Linked DNA regions of Anolis sagrei. The protein of the gene in region 1 purifies or fractionates together with the protein of each later gene. This does not show direct contact. Links are inferred from orthologs where the notes say so. Each region holds a gene or a part of one and is shown in the gene's direction. Other genes may lie near its edges.

Region 1 (6,969 bases):
CTCATATTTAAGGCAGTTAATGGGATAATTTAGACATACACATACATGCGCTCAGGGAAAGGGGAGGGAGGAAGGGCCAGGAAGGAAAAAAGCATCCGAGGGACTGCGTGTGTGAGAGAGAGAGACTTAACCATAGATGTGGGTGAAATGTCAGGAGGGAATGCTTCTGGAACATCCCTTCCTTAGGTTTTTGGAGAAGGAGGTAAGAGGGAGCAGCAGGATTTCTCTGGGGGATAGAGGAAAAAAAAATTCACAGAATGCTGGCTTCTTAGAAGATGGGAGGGGAGGGAGAAGAGAGAGAGAGAGAGAGAGAAACCCAGCAAACTTTACTTGGCAAAGGGAAACAGGAGCAGGAAAAAGGTCCCCCCCCCCCTACACCTCCCTTTGTTTGCAAGAGGAGAGAGGGAGGAGGGGTTTGAAAGCAAAAAGGGGGAGTTGGAGAGTGAAGGGAAAAACAAAGGAAAGGCAGGGACATTGGTGACTGCCCCTGAAAGATGGGTTTTGTAGTTGCACAGAAGAGAAGGGGAGAGGGAGAGAGCTCTTGGTTCAGGGAAACCAGGCGAGAGAGAGAGACTTTTGCAAGGCAGCTGAGTCACATCAGTGGCAGGGTCTCTCCTGGTGAGGGGAAACACTGTTTATTATAAATAAACAGGCACTGAAGATTCAGCTTTTGAAAGAAAGGGATGTAGTAGCTTGGTGAAGGAGGGAATGAGCGATGCCTCCCTTTTCCATCTGAAGGAAGGAAAAAAGGTGGCACAGGAGGAAGCAGGAGAGGAGGAGAGCAAAGAATTTCCCTGATCATTTCCTCAAGGAGCAGTGAAGAAAAAAAAAACAAACAAACAGAGGGGCATATAAATGCATCATAAATAGGGAATAGGGAAATGGAGGGGTTGGGAAGGGAAGGAAGGAGTCAGGGAGATTGGGTAAAGGGAAATGGGAATGGGATGGTAGGGGAACAAGCAATTTCTTCCAAAGGGAGAGGGTGAAGGGGTCTGGAGGGGGTTTCCTGGGGGGGTTGGGGCTTTGTTACCTTCCCCTTGCATGGTAGGAGTTGGCCACAACTACCCCCCCCCCTTCCACCTCCCTCCGGCACATGGCAAAAAGCATGAGGCAGAGGCGGTTTCGGTCCTCTTGGCCCCCTCACAGCGATCCGACTGCCATGAGGGGCCACGAAACTCCACCTGCTGAGGGCCTGGAGGGCCACCTCTCCATGCGATTTTTACCCTACTGGCCTGCGTCGGCGACGCAACCCTGCCCCATTCCGCCAGTATCTTCCAAAAGATGTTTCTGATGAAGCAGGACGTTTGACCCTGGAATAACATGCGCCCAATCTCTCCTGGTAGCCCCACACTGAAGTGGTTAATCAGGGTAGCCCCCCCAACCGCAAGGCAGGCTAGAGCCCGAACGGTTCCCTAGCAGAAGAGCCCGGGGCGATCAGCCCTTGGCAGCTAGGCAGTCCGAAAGGGGAGGGCTCCCTTTCCAGCGTAGCTCCAGCCAAGTCCGCAAAAGCGAGCTGAGTTGCTATTCCAGGCCTCAAACGTGGATGTTCGCTACCCCCCGCCAGGAATTTGTTACCGAGACCTAGAGAATCCCTCCCCAGTGGGCCGACTCCGAAGCTGGTTCAGAAAACCTAGAATCCCCTCCCACCTGGCAGCCAAGGCAGCCCGCGGTTGATTTCTTACCCGTCCGGACGTTTTCTTCCCCCCTTTCCGCGTCGGTCGTTCCTCTTCCTGGAAGTCCTTAGATCAAGGCTTCCCTGGCGCTCCTTTGTGCTGAAACCCTAGGTCAGAGCTTGGGAGGAAGTGGCTGCGGGAGAATTTGTAGTTTTGGTTAGCTGGTCAAATGAAAGTCCGAATTGGGAGAGGCGCCTCTTTTCCCAAGCCGTTCCTCCTTTGCTGCTGGCCCAAAGAATCAGACCAAGGCGCCTGCTTGAGAATTTAGGCTATAATTTAGTCTGGAACCTCAAGCAGCAGTCCCTTCGTGGTAAAGCCAAATGATATCGAGCTCCTTTTGGGGGGCTTTCCCAGCGAGGAAGGCCCCAGAAGACCGCAAAGGGGGTCTTTGACCTTGGCGAGCGGCCAGCGGATGCCAATTCAAGAAGACGCAAAGTTACTGAAGATCAATCTCGCCAGAGGCTGAAGAGGAGTCTACGACCGAGGCGTTTATTTTGCGATTCAGCTGAAAAGGATGCGTTACAGGGATGAATCCTCCATAAGGCATACAGTACAGTGAATTTCAGGCATATTTATACAGGCAGAACAAAGAAATCCTGGTTTGAATCTCCCGCCCGCCTCCTGTCAGTCCCCTCTGTCCTGGTTGGCCGGCTCCGGAACAGCTGGGAGGAGGCTTGGCCGCTGGTCCCGCCTTCCCTCCAATCGCCGGCCGCTGTCGCCTCCAGAGGGCCAATCAGAGCCCTCGGAGCGCCTCCGGAGATTGTCCAATCAGCGGCCAGGAGGCGGGCTTTCAGTCTGATAGCGCAGAGGGGCGGAACGCCTGGGAGGCGTCTGCCAGCTGATGGAACACCTTTTGTCTCTTCACGGCAGGGAGGCGGATGGGGAGAACAAGGGATTTCCTGGGTCTTGATAAAAGATGTGTATGAGCAAAAAGGGTGGCTATGGATGGTGTCTGGATCTCAACCCTGTAGGCAAAGGAGATCCTTTGACACAAGGGAGCATACACAAACACCATGATTGATTTAATCAGTCGGTTTTTCCGGGCTTTTGGCTGACAAAATCTCTGGCTTTTGTTTGTCTGACTCTGAGAACAAAGCCATAGATTTGCCAGTATTTGTCCATGCATTGTCAATATGGATGGAGTTTCTTCCAAGGAAATTGGATTTCCTTAACTGTAATCCCCAGGTCACATATTCTTTTATAGGGTAAAGTTCAAGAGGGGGAAGGCAAGGAAAGGGGTGAGGGTACATCTCATTTCATTTCATCTCATTACATATCATATACTTCATATATATATTCTTCACAGTCTTTCATAACTCATAGATTTCATAGAAAAGATCCCCATCCCAGTAAAGTTTATTAGAAAACCCACAGCAATTAATAAAGGCAATCAGCAGAGTTCCTGAGGTATGATCCTTTGCAACAAGGGCATGCACCCACGGGCGGGGGCCATGCTTCCCAAGCGGCTTGGCTTTTGAGTCCGTGGAGGAAGTTCATGATGATAGGGCATCAAGTCAATCAGTGAGGGCAGAAAGGTCCGCAAGGAATCCGCAAATGGTGGAGAGTGGGGCAATGTCCTTTGGAGAACTACATTTCCCTGATCAGGGGCCAGGGTCCAGTGCACAAGCCAGAGAATTCACAGAAGGGAAACAGGAACCCAGTTATGTGTGCTGGGTCAGGAAGCAGCAGAATCCATTGTCCGGCCCTTGGCGAACTACAAATACTTGGGGGGGGGGGTAGATGCTCTGCATCAATTCCACCTTAAATGGGTCACTTTGGGAGCCATTGCTGCCCAAGACTGTTGCCATCATGTATCATGGAGGAGCCGCAGGATGTTTACATATTTGTTTGGCAACTGATACAGGGAGAGATCTAATCTAGTCCTGACTAAAATCTATCAGCAAATAGGGAAAGGAAAATAATGGATTGCAGACTGGAAAAACTCAATATAGGCATTCCAATCCAATCCCCAAAAGTGGACACCAGGGATTGCAGTAACCATAATATATTTGCAAGTGAAGTGGAGCTTAAAGTTTTTTGCAAAACTGCATGCATTCCAGGTTGTTGCTAACAGATCTGTGTAAATGGGTGGCGTTCAGAAACCTTTGACTGTTGCCAATTTTTTTCGTGGCCCCAACATTGAGCTGAAAGGGACTCCATTTGAATGTCCAGTTGATTCTTTGTAAATGAGAGCTGAATAATTGTGTTTGGGAATTAAAGGGTTAATCCCTTCCTCTCCCCTAAAAGCGCCCCGCCCCCTTATTGTGACGTCAACGCCCGGCGCCCCGCCCCCTTTCGAACGCTCGCACAAGATGGTGGCTGTCTCTGGGCGAGAGGTAGGAAGTCTCCCTTTCCTTGGCTTTTCCCACATTCCGATGGTCTCGTTCGGCCCCTCCTCCCCTTCCCGGACTGACCCCCCTATTTTCCTGCTCTCTTGGTATCTTCCTGCCCGGCTCCTCAGCCACTTCAATGCGCTTTTCGGGCTTGGGAACCCACACCTTCTTTTTAAAGGGGGGGGGGGGCGTTTAGAGTCGCTTCCAGACGTCATTCCGGACTGGGAATGCGGTCAGACTGGCCCGGATTTCGCCCGCGGCTCTGGTTTAAGTTGCAGGAGGGGAGAGGCGTGGACTTCTCCTCCTCTTCCTCCTCCTCCTTCCCGAATTGAGACCCCTATCCCCAGGCAAAGGCATAGACTGCACCTCCCATCATCCCCAACCTTTGTCTCTCCAGCTGTATTGGGCTTCATCTCCCTGGAAGGTTGCATCTACACTGTAGAATGAATCCAGTGTGACACCGCTTTCACTGCTGAATGCAGTGGGAGTTATAGTTTTATTGCAATATTGGACACTTCTCTGTCAAACTACAACTCCCAGTGTTCTGCATCACCCAGTCCTGATAGTTCCAAGGGAGGCCAAACTGCGTTAAATCTGTAGTGTAGATGCTCAGGGATTGCCGGACTGCAGTTCCCATCAGCCCCAGCCAACTTGTCCTATAGTGAAGGATGATAGGGGGCTGCTTTGGTCACACGTAGAATTAATGCAGTTTGATATCACTTGAACTGCCCAGGCTCAAGGCAATGGCATCCTGGGCATTGTAGTTTTACAAGGTCTCCCTGTTAAAGAGCTCTGGGGCCTTCACAAGCTACAAATCCCAGGATTCCATAGCATGGGGGTGTGGCAGTTAAAGTGGGATCAAACTGCATTAATTTTACACCTGAAGAAGCATCCTTATGTCTTTAGATCAGTCTCTGTTGATCATTCTTAGTCACTCTATAGATACATTTATTTGTGTCTTATTTATTAATTGATGAATGCTATTACCTTATATCAAGATACACTATATAAATAAAATTGTAATCTTCATTCATAGGATTAACATAACTCAAAAACCACTGGATGATTTGACACCAAATTTGGACACAATACACATTTGAGGCCAACAAGTGACCATCACTCATAAAAACATTGAAAAACACAGCCAAAAAACAAAATATACAATACAATGCATGTGCATAACAACATATATATATATACGCAAACACACATCTACACAAATATATATACACATACACACACACACAACACATATACACAGAGTGGGCCACAGCAGTACGTGGCAGGGGGCGGCTAGTAAATAATAAAATGCTTCAATAAATAAATAATAAATAAATATTTACAGTGTACCTTAGATCAAGGAGCCCCCCAGTGGCGCAGTGGGTTAAATCACTGAGCTGTTGAACTTGCAGATTGAAAGGTCGCAGGTTCGAATCCAAGGAGTGGGGTGGGCTCCCACCTGTCAGCTCCAGCTTCTGCCAACTGAGCAGTTCGAAAACATGCAAGTGTGACTAAATCAATAGGTACTGCTCCCGTGAGAAGGTAATGGCGCGCTATACAGTCATGCCGGCCACATGACCTTGGAGGTGTCTAAGGACAACGTCGGCTTTTCAGATTAGAAATAGAGATGAGCACCAACCCCCTGAGACAGACACGACTGGACTTAATGTCAGGGGAAAACCTTTACCTTTGCCTTATATCATGGGATTACAAGGCCGTTTACAATAAAAATGAATAATATTTGAGCAGACTACTGCAATGGGCTCTGTGTGGGGCTGCCCTTGAAGTACACTCAGAAACTGCAGAGTGTAGGAACTTGATTGCTGACTAGAAGGCCATATCGACAGCACGTCATGCCAATCTTAAACAAATAGCACTGGCTGCCAAAATACAAATTTCCAATCTGGATTCAAAGTGGTCGCGATGACTTGTAAAGTCCCAAATAGCTTCTCAGTGTCCCATAAATAAGATTAATATGCAGTGTTCAGATATGGGATGGGGTCTTCTGAGTCGTGGCACCCCAAATGTGGAATGCTCTCCCTGATAGAGGCCAGCACTTATTTCATTTAGGCACCCATAAGTCCTCATTGGCTCCGTCTACACTGTAGAATTCATGCAGTTTGGCACCACTTGAACTGCGTTGGCTCAGTGCTATGGAATGGAGTCCCCGGTGGCGCAATGGGTTAAACCCTTGTGCCGGCAGGACTGAAGACCGACAGGTTGCAGGTTTAAATCCGGGAAGAGCGCAGATGAGCTCCCTCTGTCAGCTCCGGCTTCCCACAAAGGATGACAAAACATCAAAACAATCTGGTGTCCCCTGGGCAATGTCCTTGCAGACGACCAATTCTCTCACACCAGAAGCAACTTGCAGTTTCTCAAGTCGCTCCTGACACAAAAAAAAAAGTGCTGTGGAATCACAGGAGCTGTAATACATTTTTAAATATACTTAATTTATATTCCACCCTAGGGAACTCAGAGCAGATTACAGCATATATAGGCAAACATTCAATGCCTTTACAGTCATATACAGTGAGACACACAAACAGGCAGAGGCTTCTTTCATTTCCGGCTTCTGGAGCCACTGCTTATCTCTGGCACTGAGGAGGTGCTTTCTCTATTTTCAAGACAAGGAAATTTTTTTGAAGCATCTCTTTGACTTTTCCTGCCAATTCTCACATTTGCATGTTTTCGAACTGCTAGGTTAGCAGGAACTGGAGCTGACAGAAGGGAGCTCACCCCGAATTGCGGATTTGAACTGGCAACCTTCAGGTCAGCAGTTCAACAACACAAGGGTTTAACCCAGGGGTCCTCAAACTTTTTAAACAGGGGGCCAGGTCACAGTCCCTCAAACTGTTGGAGGGCCAGATTATAATTTGGAAAAATAAATGAATTCCTATGCACACTGCACATATCTTATTTGTAGTGCAAAAAACACTTTAAAACAATAGAATAATTAAAATGAA
Region 2 (7,853 bases), on another chromosome or scaffold:
ACTCCACTTTGGCAGGAAAAACGAAATGTAAGCATACAGAACGGCGGACGCCTGGCTCGAGTGTAGTACGTGTGAAAAAGATCTTGGAGTCCTCGTGGACAGCACGTTAAACATGAGCCAATGTGATGTGGCGACAGAAAAAGCCAATGGGGTTTTGGCCTGCATCAATAGGAGCATAGTGTCTAGATCTAGGGAAGTCATGCTACCCCTCTATTCCGCTTTGGTTAGACCACATCTGGAATATTGTGTCCAATTCTGGGCACCACAATTCAAGAGAGATATTGACAAGCTGAAATGTGTCCAGAGGAGGGCGACTAAAATTATCAAGGGTCTGGAGAACAAGCCCTATGAGGAGCGGCTAAAGGAGCTGGGCATGTTTAGCCTGAAGAAGGATGAGAGGAGATATGATAGCCATGTATAAATATGTAAGAAGACGTCACAGGGAGGAGGGAGCAAGCTTGTTTTCTGCTTCCCTGGAGACTAGGACGTGGAACCTACTTCAATGGCTTCAAACTATAAGAAAGGAGATTCCATCTGAACATGAGGAAGAACTTCCTGACTGTGAGAGCCGTTCAGCAGTGGAACTCTCTGCCCCGGAGTGTGGTGGAGGCTCCTTCCTTGGAAGCTTTTAAACAGAGGCTGGATGGCCATCTGTCAGGGGTGCTTTGAATGCAATATTCCTGCTTCTTGGCAGTGGGTTGGACTGGATGGCCCATGAGGTCTCTTCTATGAATGTCCAGGGTGTAAACCCCGTTCCGCCCTTAGAGGCCTGGCTGTGGGCCTTCATGCCGTTTTGGGCCTATGGAAGCCTTCTCTGATGGCTTTCCTGGCCAGATTGATCCAGCAGCGCTTTGGCGGGGCCTACCCCTGAGGCTGAGAGAGTGTGCCCTTCCCCCCCCCCCTCTCTCTCTCTCCCCCTCCCTCTCAGGGACCTCCTAGAACGAGAGGAACCCGAAAGGCGTCAGAGAAGGAGGGGGACAAAGCGCCCTCTGGAAAATGCTAGAAAGAAGTCGCAGCACAAGCAGCCGTCTCCCTCCGCCGTCTATATCATAGGAAAGAATCCCCTTCGCCTCGCCGTTGCGCTCCAATCAGAAACAGGTGCTCTTCGCTCCGCCCCATTTGCGTGAGGGGAAATGCGCATGCGCGCGGAGAGCACGTTGTAAGATGGAGCTGGAGAGAAACGAAAGCTCTCAAGGAAGGAGGGGGGAAATAATTGTGTGATCAGGCGCATGCGCAGAAGAGCAGAGGCCTACAATAGGAGCAAGCCTGCGTCAGAGCGTGTCTAGAAAGCATGTTCAGCCCTCCTGAGGAAAGAGCAAGCAGAGCTTCCGAGCCAAGATGCTGTGGTTTAAGAAAGAATTGCTTCTTTTCTCCTTTTTGAAAGCCCTGCGCCTTCAGAGAATAATAATAATTAGCGCTCGCGTTATTTCCTGGTCTCCATTGACGATAATGTGGTTATTAAAAGATGGGCGAAAAAGAGGCGAGGTTATGAGTCACCGCCAGGAAGGGCCGCCCATGGCTCTTCCCTTTAAATGGGAAAGGTCTTGGTGGGCCCCACAAGAGAAGCAGCACCATTGCAGAGGAAAGCATCAGCAGAGAGGGCCATCACCTCTTTCTCCAAGCACAGTTCTCCAAAAGTCAAACTGGAGAAGAAAACAAAGACTGCAGAAAACAAACTACTTAGAATCATAGAGTCGGAAGGGACCTCGTGGGCCGTCCAGTCCAACCCCCTTCCAAGAAGCAGAAAAATCTCATTCAAAGCACCCCTGACAGATGGCCAGACAGCCTGTTTAAAAGCCTCCAAAGAAAGAGTCCCCATCACACTCCAGGGCAGAGAGTTCCACTTCTGAATAGCTCTCACAGGAAGCTCTTCCTAATGTTCAGATGGAATCTTCTTTCTTGCAGTTTGAAGCCATTGTTTTGCGTCCTTTGCATCCGCAGAGGTTGTGAGGTCTGTTGGAAACTAGGAAAATGGTTTTCCTAATTTCCAACAGACCTCGCAATGTCTGAGGGTGCCTGCCATAGATGCGAGAGAAACATCAGGAGAGAATGCTTCTGGAACATGGCTATACAGCCTGGAAAACACACAGCAACCTAGTGATTCTGGCCATTAAAGCCTTTGACAATATAATAAGAGTATGGTATTGGAAATGTGTAAATGGTGTAAACAACCGACAATGCCAATTTACTATTACTATATTTGCTTATCTTCTGATTTGAGTCAAGAGACTCAAAGTAATGAACAATGGTAAAAGCATTATAATACAATGTAACATTAAATCAGGTAAAAGCAATACCTGACTGAGAGTATAAACCTCTGGGTTGCTGTGAGTTTTCAACATTAAAACAAAGGATTCCTCCAGGCAGGAAGCAGCCAGCCTTTGAAACTGCAAGGGCATTCAATGCTAATCACTTGCCTCAAGTGGACAAGAGTTCTTTCTCCCATCCTGGACATTTCACAGATATATAAAACCCCACTTGCCTAGTTTCCAACAGATCTCACAACCTCTGAGGATGCCTGCCATAGATGTGGGAGAAACATCAGGAAAGAATGCTTTTGGAACATGACCATACAGTCTAGAGAACTCAAAGCAACCCAGTGATTTTGGCCATGAAAGCCTTTGACAACACATGAAAATAGAATTAAATTTAGAACTATTTTAAAAACAATAAAATTGTTTAAAATACATCAAAACAACACACAATAGTGGCATTTGGTTTCCCCCCCCCCCCCCAACACTCAATTGTTGTTTATTCGCTCAGTCGCAGCTGACTTTGTAACCTCATGGGCCAGCCCACGCCAGACTCCCTGTCCTCAGATGGATGGAACGATGCCATCCATCCATCTTGCCCTTGGTCTGCCCTTTTTCCTTCCATTTTCCCCAGCATCATTGTCTTCTCCAAGCTTTCCTGTCTTCTCATGATATGGCCAAAATACTTAATCTTTGCCTCTAATATCCTTCCCTCCAATGAGCAGTCGGGCTTTATTTCCTGGAGTATGGACTGGTTGGATCTTCTCGCAGTCCAAGACACTCTCAGAATTTTCCTCCAACACCACAGTTCAAAAGCACCTGTCTTCCTTCACTCAGCCTTCCTTATGGTCCAGCCCTCACATCTATAGGTTACTACGGGGAACAAGGGAACAATCCTTTACAGAAGCAACACTCAATATTACACGAGACTGCAACATTTCAAGTTAATTTTCTTCCTTCACTTAGCCTTCTCTATGGTCCCGCTCTCACATCCATAGGTGACTATGGGGAATACCATTGCTTTAACTATGTGGATCTTTGTTGCCAGTGTGATGTCTATACTCTTCACTATTGTATCGAGATTGGACATTGCTCTCCTCCCAAGAAGTAAGCGTCTTCTGATTTCCTGGCCGCAGTCTGCATCTGCAGTAATCTTTGCACCTAGAAATACAAAGTCTGTCACGGCCTCCACGTTTTCTCCCTCTATTTCCCAGTTGTCAATCATTCTTGTTGCCACAATCTTGGTTTTTTTGATGTTTAACTGCAACCCAGCTTTTGCGCTTTCTTCTTTCACCTTGATTAGAAGGCTCCTCTGCACCCCCTCACTTTCGGCCATCAAAGTGGTATCATCTGCATATCTAAGGATGTTAATGTTTCTTCCAGCAATTTCATCCCAGCCTTGCATTCCTCAGGCTGGTATATAGTGCAGGCCATATTATGTACCTGACTGCTACCTTCCATTTCTGCACAAAATAGTCTTCAGAATTTCTATGGACAATGCTTTATGATCTGTTTAGTATTCTTCTTAGGCGATCCCTCGTTGGACGAGTAAGATGGTCTTCCATTATGCGTTTCCTTGTGGGTTCGTAGGTGGCTGTGGAGCCCTATTCTTGATCCGCATCTTCTCCCACAGTGAGGGCATTGGTTTCCAGGTGGAAGGCGGTCCCAGTCGGGGTTGGCTTGATGCGCCTTCCTCCTGGCACGTTTCTCTCTTTCGCCCTCCACTCATGCCTCCTCGAATTCTACAGCACTGCTGGTCACAGCTGACCTCCAGCTGGAGCGCTCAAGGGCCAGGGCTTCCCAGTTCTCAGTGTCTATGCCAGAGATTTTAAGGTTGGCTTTGAGGCCATCTTTAAATCTCTTTTCCTGTCCACCAACATTCCGTTTTCCGTTCTTAAGTTCAGAGTCGAGCAACTGCTTTGGGAGAAGGTAGTCAGGCATCTGGACAACATGGCTGGCCCAGCGGAGTTGCTGTTGGAGGACCATCGCTTCAATGCTGGTGGTCTTTGCTTCTTCCAGCACGCTGGCGTTTGTCCGCTTGTCTTCCCAGGAGATTTGCAGGATTTTCCGGAGGCAGCGCTAATGGAATCGTTCCAGGAGTTGCATGTGACGTCTGTAGACAGTCCATGTTTCACAGGCATATAGCAGGGTTGGGAGGACAATAGCTTTGTAGACAAGCACCTTGGTATCCCTACGGATGTCTCGGTCCTCAAACACTCTCTGCTTCATTCGGGAAAATGCTGCACTCGCGGAGCTCAGGCGGTGTTGTATTTCGGTGTCGATGTTGACTTTGGTGGAGAGGTGGCTGCCAAGGTAGTGGAAATGGTCAACATCTGTTTAGTGGCTGAAGGGGAAAAGGAAGGGGCCTGAGGCAGTTAGGAATGGTGGGAGTTGGAGTCCAAAACACCTGGAGGGCCCAAGTTTGGCCAGGCCTGGTCGACCCCGCTTCAGCTGCCATAGTTCCGTGCTCTATAAAAGTGCTCCATTCCACAGTGTACAGAGGCACTCTTTCCCCTCCTCCAAAGGGATGCGGCCCCTTTAAGGCGGAAGGAGCCGAGGGGCGAGCGGCGCGAGGCCGGGCCGGGCGGATATAAAAGGGGGGCCCGCGCGCTCCCGCCTCCTCTCCCGGCTCTCTTGCTCCGAAGGCCGCCCCGCGCTCAAGGCTCGCCTCCCGCCCGTCTGCCCGCCCGCCATCAAGGTCGGTCCTTTTCTCCCCCTCGGAGGAAGATGGAGGAGCGGAGTGGAATCGCCCCCGGCTCTGAGAGTGGAGGGAGGGGGAAAAATGAGTCCCGCTCCCGGTCAGGAGGCGCCCTCAGAAGAAAGGAATCCGTCCCTGAGGGAGCCTTTGGAGCTAGGCCTCGGCCTCGCCGTGCCTCACCTCCTGAGCCGCCCTCAGGGAAGGAAAGCAAAGAGGGAAAGAAAGGCTTAGAGAAAGACGGAAAGCAAGCAGGTCGCCCCCAGAATACAACAAGGCAGGGAAAGGAGGCGAGGGAGGCCTTTGCGACAATGGCGGATTGGGGAGGGGGGAGCGAGGGAGCTCCCTCGCGTGGAAAGGGAGGGAGGGAAACGCGTGGGCATGGCCGCCTCCTCCCTGCTGCCAGGCCTGGATTGCGACAACGCGCCTCTTTGTGGAATAGGCAAGCAGAGATACATGGCGCACATGTGTGTACGCATCTATCTTCCATATAAATAATAATGTAATGTTCGTTTGTGGAATTAACAGAACTCGAAAACCACTGGACGAATTGACACCAAATTTGGACACAATACACGTATCAGGCCAACGAGTGACCATCACTCATAAAAACACTGAAAAACACAACGGAAGGGACTTCAAAAGCCAAAAAAAAATATTAAAAAATACATTACAGCATATGAGCAAAAACATATATATAGACGCAAACACACACACATATACACAAATATATATACACACAAAGCATATATATACAGAATGGGCCATAGCAACGTGTGGCAGGGGACGGCTAGGATCTATATAAATAAAAATGTAATGTTCGTTTGTGGGATTAACATAACTCAAAAGCCACTGGACGAATTGACACCAAATTTGGACACAATACACATATCAGGCCAACAAGTGACCGTCACTCATAAATACACTGAAAAACACAGCAGAAGAGACTTAAAAAGTAAAAATAAAAAATACATTACAATACATGTGCAAAACCATATATATACATATGCAAACACACATATATACACATACACAAAACACATATACACAGACTGGGCCACAGCAACGCATGGCAGGGGGTGGCTAATATATGTATATGTGGAGAGTGAAAGCAAAAGCACGTGCCTACCCACAGAAATAGAGCACATGTGTGTACATATATATATATGTAGAGGGAGAGAGAGTGCGTGCCTACCCACATGCATATATACAGATATAGCTCATAGGAGAGAGAGAACCTAAACGAAAGTACTGCCACAATTGTGTGCACGCACATATATGTAAGAGATGCATACGTAGCCAAAGAGAAAATATTGCTCGTCACACACATGATGAATTCCTAGCTTTGGGTTTCAAAAATAAAGTTTCTCTGTCTCTCTCTCTCTCTCTCTCTCTCACACACACACACACACACATACATACATATGCAGTTATTGATGGATAGATAGATATGCATACAAATGTATATAGTTAAAAAAGAAGAGAAAATAGTTTTACTACTAATTGTTACTAATTGTGGACATGAGGAATTCCTAGCTTGGGCAAACTGGCTGTTAAGAATTGTGGGACTTGGTAGTTCAAAACACCTGGAGGGACGAAGTTTGCTCATGCGTGCTTTAGTTTCCAGTAGAAAAGGTGTACATTCACAAACCTTTTCTATTTGAGACTACAGGGGAGGGATTCCTCGCATCTACAATGTGTATACATGCACAGGTTTTTGTAGATACACACATACATGTAAAAATTAAAGATCTTTACTAAAACTATACTTAAAAAAAGAATATGCACACACACACACACACACTTGTGCATAACATAGAAGAGAAAATAGCATTACAAATGGTAAACTTGAGAAAACCTGGAGTTTCAGACATCTATTTACACACACACACACATTTATTCAATTCTATGATGCAGTTTTCCCCTCATAAACATCTTTTAATAATGGCTTGTGCCTTAGACTCATGGGTGCTTTTTTCTGTTGGTGGTACTGAAATGTGTGGCTGAGGTAGTGACATTTCTGTTTTCTGTTGGTTCAGTGTACACAAACCTCCTTTCATGCACAAATTTATTTTTAAAATATTGTGTATGAAACTGCCTTCAGTTTATGCATATAAACTTTGTTTCATGCACAAAATTATTTTTCAAATACTGTGTAAAATTAAACTGCATATAAAGGTACATATGAAAAACAAATGAGTTTCATGTTTAGGGTTGGGTCCTATCTTTGAGATTCCTCATTATATACATGCAAATATGCAAAAAGAAATTTTTTTTAACCAATTGGAGGGCCAAAAGTTTGAAAACTAATGCCATACCTCTCCAAACTACAAACCTTAAAGAGTCTATGGGATGCAACTCAAAATAGGTTTATTCAATGGGGCGAATGCATATTTTAGAAAAAGCCATAAACCCTACATTGGAAGAAGGGAAAAGTGAAAATCTGATACTGACAGGTTGAAACAAAAAAGTTTCAATTCAGAGAAATCCCAACAATTTTCTTTACTTCATTTTAGTTTTGATCCCACCTCTTTCCAAATAAGGACTCAAGAACAAGACTGCCAAGATCTCACCACCTGAACTCGATCTACATTGTATCAGCTTAGCAATATAATCAACCCTCCATATTTTCTGGCATTATGAGCATAGGACCCCCACAAAATGAAAAAAAAAAACACTTTTTATAAAATGCCAAGAGAACAGTTCTAGGCATCTGTCTTTTAGTTCTATATAGTCAACATCCACTGGAAACTGGTAATAGAGTTGTGTGGGAGGACAGAGATCTCTCTAGAGACATGTTCTGTTTAGAAATCTCTAGTTCCTCCAGAACAACAACTGGTCGGTCCACAGTTGCACTGGAGGACCTTGTGTTTCCTACAGAAGCCATATTAATTAAGCCCTCAAAT

What was found. The genes of interacting proteins can lie anywhere in the genome.
Region 2: the proteins of ARAF (region 1) and HSP90AB1 purify together in Homo sapiens (affinity purification with mass spectrometry; 5 studies listed by BioGRID and IntAct, with this or other methods). This does not show direct contact. The link is inferred for Anolis sagrei from reciprocal best matches to the Homo sapiens genes ARAF and HSP90AB1.

The regions. Positions count from the first base shown.
Region 1 is NC_090022.1:192,681,246-192,688,214, forward strand, and holds the start of ARAF (serine/threonine-protein kinase A-Raf), read left to right. Parts: upstream 1-3,945; 5' UTR 3,946-4,009; intron 4,010-6,969. UniProt on the Homo sapiens protein: Involved in the transduction of mitogenic signals from the cell membrane to the nucleus. May also regulate the TOR signaling cascade. Phosphorylates PFKFB2.
Region 2 is NC_090021.1:48,271,614-48,279,466, reverse strand, and holds the start of HSP90AB1 (heat shock protein HSP 90-beta), read left to right. Parts: upstream 1-4,847; 5' UTR 4,848-4,950; intron 4,951-7,853. UniProt on the Homo sapiens protein: Molecular chaperone that promotes the maturation, structural maintenance and proper regulation of specific target proteins involved for instance in cell cycle control and signal transduction. Undergoes a functional cycle linked to its ATPase activity.